2 linked regions of the Chlamydomonas reinhardtii genome follow. The protein of the gene in region 1 binds, or shares a complex with, the protein of each later gene. Links are inferred from orthologs where the notes say so. Each region holds a gene or a part of one and is shown on either strand. Other genes may lie near its edges. The genes, in order: CHLRE_16g688750v5 and CHLRE_17g712000v5.

The links.
Region 2: CHLRE_16g688750v5 (region 1) and CHLRE_17g712000v5 share a complex: the UniProt entries of both Arabidopsis thaliana proteins name them as parts of the spliceosome. The link is inferred for Chlamydomonas reinhardtii from reciprocal best matches to the Arabidopsis thaliana genes SMU2 and RSZ21.

The regions. Positions count from the first base shown.
Region 1 is NC_057019.1:3,685,866-3,690,258, reverse strand, and holds the start of CHLRE_16g688750v5 (uncharacterized protein), read left to right. Parts: upstream 1-1,423; 5' UTR 1,424-1,553; coding exon 1,554-1,762; intron 1,763-2,000; coding exon 2,001-2,136; intron 2,137-2,477; coding exon 2,478-2,579; intron 2,580-2,823; coding exon 2,824-2,970; intron 2,971-3,224; coding exon 3,225-3,410; intron 3,411-3,557; coding exon 3,558-3,683; intron 3,684-4,047; coding exon 4,048-4,253; intron 4,254-4,393. Other genes in the region: CHLRE_16g688800v5 (uncharacterized protein), read right to left, coding at 233-282, 663-1,194. UniProt on the Arabidopsis thaliana protein: Auxiliary spliceosomal protein involved in splicing of specific pre-mRNAs that affect multiple aspects of development.
Region 2 is NC_057020.1:2,067,813-2,072,296, forward strand, and holds CHLRE_17g712000v5 (uncharacterized protein), read left to right. Parts: upstream 1-1,643; 5' UTR 1,644-1,755; coding exon 1,756-1,774; intron 1,775-1,868; coding exon 1,869-1,964; intron 1,965-2,058; coding exon 2,059-2,064; intron 2,065-2,899; coding exon 2,900-2,970; intron 2,971-3,126; coding exon 3,127-3,464; intron 3,465-3,649; coding exon 3,650-3,794; 3' UTR 3,795-4,338; downstream 4,339-4,484. Other genes in the region: CHLRE_17g711950v5 (uncharacterized protein), read right to left, coding at 542-817, 1,050-1,093, 1,322-1,475. UniProt on the Arabidopsis thaliana protein: Probably involved in intron recognition and spliceosome assembly.

The sequences.
Region 1 (4,393 bases):
TACGTAAGAACGACACGCACACAACAATGTCCTTTGTCAGGTCTCTTTACTCATTGCTCACAGGCGGATAAGCCTCTGCTAATGCTATGCGCACAGAGGCGCACACCCCACCAACGTTCCAGCAACCACGTCTTCCCGCACCCAGACCCATCACAAAGCTGGTCTGCGAACGAGGCACTCCTCTGTCCGTTCATGGAGCACGCGCGTGAGCAGGGCGCCCCGTGCCAGCTGCTTACTCATCGCCCTCCACCTCCTCCATCTCCTCCTCCTCGTCCTCGTCACCTGCAGGGTATGCAGCATGAGCACACGGAAGTGACTAACAGGTAAAGCGCTGTGGCAGGAAGGTGCGTCCTACGCATTGATACTGCGAAGCGATCGACCACAAGTCAACTGCTGGGTGCCAGTCAACTGGGAAGGTGGTGGATGCGCGATGCGCGCCACGAGGCGGCAACGCCTCAACCCAAGGACGACCCTCTTTCTCCCCTGGCTTCACGCAGCTCCGCGCGGCTCCGTCCCCTCGCGTGCCCCGCACCCCGCAGCCACCCCGCCGCCACCACGCCCACAGCCACCCAGCCCACTCTTGCCCCAGGCCCCCATCCATCCCTAAATCCGTCCCCACACGGCACGCCACACGCCGAACCCCAGCAGCACGCCTCACTCACCCTCCTCAATCGTCTCCCCGTCCGGTCCCGCGGCGCCGGGCGGCACCAGGTACACCTGCCCGCTGCCGTCCTTGGGCATGACCACGCGGTAGCCCATCTGCTGCAGCATCTTCAGCATGGCTGTGTTGTTGCCGCCTGGCCCCGCCGCGGCCGCGCCCGCCGTATCCACCTCGCTCTCGCTGTACCCCTCCATCACCTCGTCGTGTGGCTGCACCTCCACCTCCTCGTCGTCGGCGCCGGCCAGCAGCGGGCCCTCCTGGTCGCGCTTCACCTTGTAGTCCCGGCGCGGTTTGCGCTCCGCGCCAGCCTTATCAGCGTCAGCCTGCTCGGCCTTCGCGGCGCCTGCCGCATCGGGCGCCTTGGGCGCCTTCTTGCGGTTCTGTAGGAAACGGCGGACCAGGTAGCCACCGACCAGCACCGGCAGGGCCCAGGCTTGCACGATGTTGAGGGTCGCGTCGACCAAGTTGGTCTTGGCCTTTTTAGATTTCCATGTTTCCTTGGCCGATAGACTAGACCCGGCGTAGGTAGACATGCTCGACGAAGTGCAGACTAGTTCGCGAGGTGCACACAGAGCCGCCCAAGCAACGCAGTGTCAATTCCGCAAACCCAGTGTAGGCAACTATAGATATACTGAGATCTAACAGTGATTGCTTGGAATTCATTCCAGAACGAGTATTTCGGGCGAGCTCGCATGGACAGCATGGACCACGGTGCAACAAGAGTAAAGGAACAAACATACCGTAACTGCATTCTTTCCTCATACTACACATTTTGTGCACAAGAAAGAGCTTAAGGCCGCTGCGCGATACCAACAAATCTTCCTGCTGCGCGGGGCTCTGGCTCCTCCCAAAAAACAATTGTCTCATGTTACTATAGTCCAAAGTAGCAAAAATGAACAATGATGACTTCCGAAGACTGCTGGCAACGCCCAGGGCGGAACGCTTTGGCGGGGAGACACCCGCAGCAGGCAAGTCTGGGCAGGCGCAGGCGCAGGCCAAAGCCAAACCCACGGGCGAGTACCGGCCCAAGCCCAAGCCGGGCTTCAAGAAGCCGACTGACAAGAAGAAGGAGGATGAGGACGAGGACGGGCCCAAGTACAGGTATGACGGGTCGCACGGCTTGGGTGAGGAGCGCAGTGGACACGCAGGCCGTGGGCACCTCCCAGCTCCCACACGAGCGGCCGGCATGGGCGCCGCTATTGGCGACCCCGCGACACCGATGTGCATGCTGACATGAGCCTAACGATGCACAGCGCACATACTCCACTGGACTCGTGTCACGCACCCTCCACGCGTCATCCACCACGCCCATCCTCCTTGAAACCTTGACAACCAACAGGGACCGCGCGGAGGAGCGCCGCCGCGGCAAGAACAGCGACTACGAGGACGCGTCCGCGGTGCTGTCTGCTCTGGGGGGCAGCGGCGGCGGCGGCGGGGCGGGTGGCGGCGGGCCCCTGGGCCCCGACATTGGCCAGGTGCGGCCCTGGGCAGGACTATGGCCGGGGGGCCGTGTGCTAGGAGAGCACAAGGGGGGCGGTTGCCTGTGCCAGTATGCGACGATACTGCTGAGGCGGATGATTTAGGAGAAGCGGGAGGTTACTTGCAGCGCCAGCCGTGGCAGTGCGGGCTTTGTGGCTTGGGCGTCTTTCCCTGTTGCTTGAGGATGAGGGTGCTCGACTGCGGCACATGCCGTCCGCATCCAATAAAGATTACCGTTCCTTTGGCCGTAGATGGTCCTTCATTGGGCCGTCCCGTCTTGCATGTTGTCATGTCGCAACCTCACACTGTGTCCTGCCCGGGCTGCCGGGGTGGGCAGGTGGATCTGAGCAAGCTGTCGGAGGAGGAGACCAAGTACCTGGGAGGCGACATGCGCTTCACCCATCTGGTGAAGGGTCTGGACTACGCCCTGCTGCACAAGGTGGGGGCGTGGGGCCGTGCTGGCGTGGGGGGCCGTGCTGCCGTGGGGCCGTGCGGTCAGTGAGGCACTGGCAGCGGGGTGCTAGCCTCCTGGGGAAGGACAGTAAGGAGGAGGGGTGTGTCACGGAGTGCCAGGATCGGGGAGCACCTGGGACACTGGGGGGAGCGGGCAAGGCTGGGGCTGCAGACAATGGTAATGAACCGCTAGACAAGTCTTTCAACGCATGCACGCTGCATATGCGCAGACGCGGTCGGAGATCACCAAGAAGGGAGACAGCGACGAGGAGGATGAGGAGCACGGCGAGGGGCACGGTGCGCGGAAGGAGGCGTCACGAGAAGCGGCGGCGCGGGCGGCCGCCAAGGCCAACGCAGCGGCGGGGCGCAAGGAGGAGGTGTGTGCGCATCCGGTCGTGTGCGAGGTGCTTCGAGAGGGCGCCCCAAAAGGAAAGGGTTGGACTGGATTGTGAAGGGGGGGGCTCATTCTTGTATGCTGAAGGTCTTGGTCCACGTAGAGCCTGCGCCGCACGCCTGCGACGTGTGACGGCTTCTAATGCCCTTCACGACTCCCGCTTCTGACCATCCCACTGCCCACACCCGCGTTAGCATATCCGTTCCTTGCGCGTACACACATGCTCATGCCGAGCAGGTCCGCTTTGTGACGCCGCTGGCTCGCTCCGTCTTCAGCACCCTGTTCGCGCCGCCGCGCGCCTCCAACGTGCGGGAGATGTACGGCCCCCGCCGTACGGCCTTTGTGTACGACTTCGACAACGAGGACTCGCCCGACACCGACGTGCCCACCACACTGCGCCGGCCCAAGAGCGAGTGCCCGCAGGTGCGTGCGCCGGCTGCCTGTGCTCCCGGCCCTGGAGGCGCATCTCCAGTGCCCCGTGGACCCATGCTGAGATGCAGTGGGTACCGCACTTTGAATGCGCTCGCCCACGCTGCCGTAAAATATGTTGTCCCATTGCTGCCCGTGTAGGTGGCTGAGACGCTGTTTGCGGCGGTGGACAACGCGGTGTTGGAGCGCATCGCCAAGATCATGAGCTATGTGCGCACCACCGCGGACGGCAAGAAGCTCAAGAAGAAGGACCGCGACGCGCTGCTGGTGCGTGTGGGGGCTTTACGTTGGGTTGGGTAGCTCCGGGTGACTCGGTGGGTGGCTGGATGACTGGGTGGCTGTGCGGTTGGGGCATCAGCAAGTGGCATAAGGTCGGGTTCGGATTAACCGGTCGCCAGTTACAGGTTTGGGGGCTGGGGGTTTGTGCGCACGTGTTACGCCATACAATGGAGGCGTGGAGGACACGCAGTGAGGGGGGGGGCGCTATTTCACAGGCCGCGCAGTCCAGCAGTGGCGATAGCGAAGGTCTTCGCACCGCATTACACCCCAGCGTACGCGTACCTGTCACACTAACAATCGCACCGCCAATCGCGCCTTGCGCATACCGCCCTTGCGCATACCGCCACTGTAGGGCATCAAGTCTGAGGCAGACGCCGCCGAGAAGGACCTCGCCGGCGTCTCGCCTGGCGCCCCGGCCTCGGCCGCGGCCGCGGAGCCCGCCAAGCCGGCCGCCCCCGTGGACGACGATGAAGACATATTCGGAGACGCCGGCACCGACTACCAACCCACCACCAAGGGGGCGAAGGCCAAGGATGCGGCGGCTCCACCGGGCGCCAGGTGCGGCCGGCGGGCGCTTTGGGCTGGAAGGCGTGGCGTGTTGGTGGCATGGGGGCTCGTGATTACCCTCGGACTTGTGTGTGCGCTCAACGACCTGTCTCAACGACCTGTCACCCGCGTCGCATATCTACCGCATCGGC
Region 2 (4,484 bases), on another chromosome or scaffold:
GAATGCTCTTTGTCGCTTCAAGTCAATCAGTGTGACCCTGTATTACTATGTAAAACTTGCGTACAGAAGTTGTGGGCATTCACGTGAGTGCGTGCCTTGGTTCCAATTTCCCGGCCCCCTCAACCGTGCGCTTTTCCCGGGGAACACTTGTCCCGTGCCGACAGCTCGCCCTGGCTACTGACGCGTCCCGCTTACAAACAGCAAAGCGGATGCCGCTTGCATACTCACACCGTGTGACAAAGCTGCGCACGATATCTCGGTGCTACGTACACGGCAAATGGCGTGACATGGCACGGCGCTCACCGGATCGGGCGAGCGAAACAGACAGGGGCGCAGTGTAGGGGTGCTTTGCAAGTCGGCATCAATCAGAAGCTTCTTTACATCAGGACCAGCTCGTCGCTTATTTGTGCTGTCAAAGCGTGTGCCCGCTCAGGCACACCGGCACAGCTCCGCATCGGGGCCCACAATCCACTCCCCGCCACCATCGCATCTGCACGCGTGCGCTAGCCCCAACCTATCTCTCCTAAAGGTCCCTGCACGCTCACACCGTCGCGCCCTCTTTCAATATCTGCAGTGAGCCTTTAAACGCTGCCGCCGTGGCCCTGGCGTCCCCCAGCTGCTTGTCCAGCTCCGCCAGCTGCTGCCGAAGGTGCTCCTGCCGCGGCGCCACCAGGCCCCGCACCTCCCCTAGCGCCGACTCCACGTGAAATCCTAGGCCCACGGACACGTAGATCCTGCTGACGTCTGGCACACGCGCCGCGCACTTGACATCGCAGCCCACGTCCACACGCTGGCCCTCGAGAGAGGTGGCGCCGTCCTGAATGCGGTTAGGAGGGGTTGAGGTTAGGGTGGGGGTAGCAGAGGTGAGGCGTTAGTGCTGGGATTGCATGGCGATGCGAAGTAGAGTTTACAAGTGGGTGCGGTGCAAGAGAGGCGAGGTACGCATGCGGGTAGCGGGGCATAATGGAGCTGGCTCGCCGCCGACCAGGTTGCAACGGGTGTTGCCCGCACCCAGGCGATAACACAACCTTCCAGATGCTGCCACTCACCTTGACGAACGTGGCCACACCGGCCACAAGCTTTTCGTACTCGTCTGTGAAATGACACCGCAAGAGCAACGGGTGGATGTTGCGGCGGCGGGCCAACGCGTTGATCCACAGGCCATATGTCCATAGGCCAGGCAACGGCCTCACTCCTAGTTTGAGGCCCTTCTTCCGCCGTATCCCACGGCTTTCCAACGGCCACTCCTACCCTTGACACAGTTTGGCCCTCCCAGTGTAACTGGACACGCCCGCCCCAAACCCCAGTCCGTCCAACTCACCCGAGTCCTCTTGCAGCTTCGCCCTCCGCTGTTCAAGCTTATCGATGTCTGCCTCTAGTTTCTCCTTGTATCCCTCAAATTTCCCTAGTTGTGCCGCTAGTTCGGCCTGCGTCAGTGGGGCATCGCCGACGTCACTTTCCGCAGGCCGCTGCATCGTTACCGCTGGTGCAAGGAATTCACAGAGCATCAATAGGGCTTCTGGGCAAGCGTGTGTTTTGTTACAGGCTGGCGCAGACTTGGGATTCATGTAGGCAATCCGCCCAGCTGAGCAAAACTCCTGTCTCTGCAAGCTGCATGCATAAGACGCTGTACTCATAAGGGCATAATTGTTCAAGGTCTGCATCTGCGAACGAACTAACGAGCGAGGGCGAGGGTTAAAAGGAATCTTCTGAAGTCGTTTCAGCGTCTAGGTTTAGGTTCAGGAGCAGGTGGCTATGGCGCGTGTGTATGTCGGTAAGTGAACGATAGTATGCTGAGCTGCTCTGGCTAAGGGGGCAGCCGCTGGCACCGCTCTTGGCAGTCACGCCTCGTGTCTTCGGCTGTCCAGGTAACCTGCCCTCGGGCATCCGTGAGGAGGATTTGGAGACAGAGTTCGTGCGCTTCGGCAGGCTAAGGAACATCTGGGTGGCGCGCAAGCCTCCAGGTGAGCGAGCGAGTCGCTGCAATTCTAGCGATCGCGGCGCGCTGTGCACCGTGCTGACTTTCTGCGCGCCCTATTGTCCTCCAATTTACCGCAGGATTTGGTAAGCATACACGCACCTCGGGAGCAGCGCAGGGGCCAAGACAGGCGAGGGTCTAAATGTACTCGGCACGGCCAGTTGGGCTCGCCGCTCTACGCTGGAGGCTGGACAGAGAGCGCATTGACCTAACCCCCGCAGGATGACAAGCCTCGCTGATGCGACCACAACCCAGCCTGACCTACTGTCGGCCCACCCTCCTGCGCTCCCCAACCCCGTCGCACGCATCGCCTTCTCCTCTTCCCATCTCCAAGCACGACCCCATCAACGCACACCGCCTGCGTCATATATGTACTGGCGGCAGCTCATCTGCTGCCGCCCACTGCGCCTTCTCGGCTCGTCCTAGTATCGCATCGGGCCCGTCCCCTTCCCTCTACCCGTCGCCAACCCCGCCGTCCTCGCCGCGCCTCAGCCGCATCACCCTTCACCGTCAGCTACACCCATGCCCTTCAGCAATGGCCCCTGTGGCCTGTGCACACGTCAGCAACGACCACGCCTCAGCCACTTCAACCCTCACCAGCCTGCACCGCCTCACCTGCAACACCGCCCCCACACCTGCCACCTGCTCGCCCACTGGCGGCCACCCGCCACCGCCTGTGCTCGCCCCACCCTCCCTGGCGTAGGTCGTGGGTTGCACAGGCAGCGCGCGGCTTACACTAGCAGTCCTCGTGACTGCACACACGGGAAGCAGCTCCTCGCTTGCTCCGCGCCTGCCCTTTGCCAGCAGCCTCATTCAGCCTCATTGGATACACCACAGGAAATAGAGCCTCTCAACAACATTGAAATGCCGTTTCCTGACGCCTGCGCCCTCCCTGTAACTTCCTCCGCTCTCAACCTGCAGCGTTTATTGAGATGGATGACCTCCGTGACGCGGAGGACGCGGTGCGCGCTCTGGACGGCATGAAGGGCTGGGTGAGTCGCGACGCAACGTACGTGCTGCCGGTGACTTGACGAGGTTGTGGGTGACCTGGGTGTGTGTTGCGCAAGGTAGGCTTGATGTCAATGAAGTGGATCGCTTATCATGGACACAGAACTAAGTGTTGTTTGGCTTGCTATTCCTTACTGCAGCGTGTGGAGATCTCCCGCAACCGCGGTCCGCCCCCAGGGCGCGGCGGCGGCGGCGGCGGCGGCGGCGCCTTCCGCGGCCCCCCCCCGGACCGCTTCGACGACTTCCGCCGCAGCCCGCCGCGACGCCGCAGCCCGAGCCCTATGCGCCGCCGGAGCCCCAGCCCTTACGGCCGCCGCGCCAGCCCGCCGCGACGCCGGTCGCCCAGCCCGCCGCGCCGCCGGTCGCCCAGCCCGCTGCGCCGCCGGTCGCCCAGCCCGCTGCGCCGCCGCAGCCCCAGCCCGATCCGCCGCCGCAGCCCCAGCCCCATCCGCCGCCGCAGCCCCAGCCCGCCACGCCGGTAAGCGCTTTTGTATTGATGTGTGATCACAAATACGTTCTGTGCCGCCTCTTGACTCGCGTGCTGTCGAAACGTTGCGGGTCATCTGGCGGACTTGGGCGGACAGCTATTTCAACGCATTGCTTCAAATGTTCACATTAGTCGCCCAATCCTTCAAACGTTCATGGTTCCTTTTGTAAACGTAGGTCGTCCCCGCGCCGCGATAGCCCTGTGGGCGAGCGCCGGCCGCGTAGCCCCAGCCCCATCCGTGAGCGCTCAGCCTCGCCGCCCCGGCGCTCGCCGCCGCCGCTGCGGAGCCGCAGCCGCAGCCGCTCGCCTGTACGCGACTAAGCATGGCGGCGAGAGTTGGCCACGGCGCTTTGGCCGTTGGCCAGAGCAGGGTGTGTCACTAGTGACGTGTTTGTTAGTTTACGTGATGTGGGTACTGGCAGTGCCGGGTAGTTCGAGGGGCAGGACGAGGGGCAGGAGAGGGTGCACAAGCGCTTTTGTGATACAAATCATGAAGTCGAGCCCGATTGGCTTGATGGTCATGGCAGGCGCCGCCAGAGGTGCCCCCGGGCGCCGCAAGGGCAACCAGGCATGCTGCAGTGGAAGGGATAGGATGGCGACGCCTAATACAATGAAGTGACGAGTCTGGTGTCCCGCGGAGGCAGCGGTTGAGCGCCCGTTGAGAGCATGCGGGCGCGCAGGAGAGAGTAAGTGCGGTGCTTGCGCGTGTGCAGGTGTGCTGCGTCCCAGGCATGGGGGCTATGGGGCGACACGAAACATGGAGCTGCAGACGCCAAGGAGGATGCCAAGCTGCCGGAGTGGAGGCATGGAGCCAAAGCAACAAAGCGGAAATACAAAGCTTAGGGAACTGTAACGCACTGGCTGTTATGTGCCGCGACTCATGTGCAGTAGCTCAAACCCCACGCCCAGACGGCCAGACCCCTGCGCGCACAGCAGGCATTGGTCGTACTCAGTCACCTTCAAGGCGTTCAAGCTTTCATCCGTTCCGGTCATCCAAGCTATCGTCCAGGT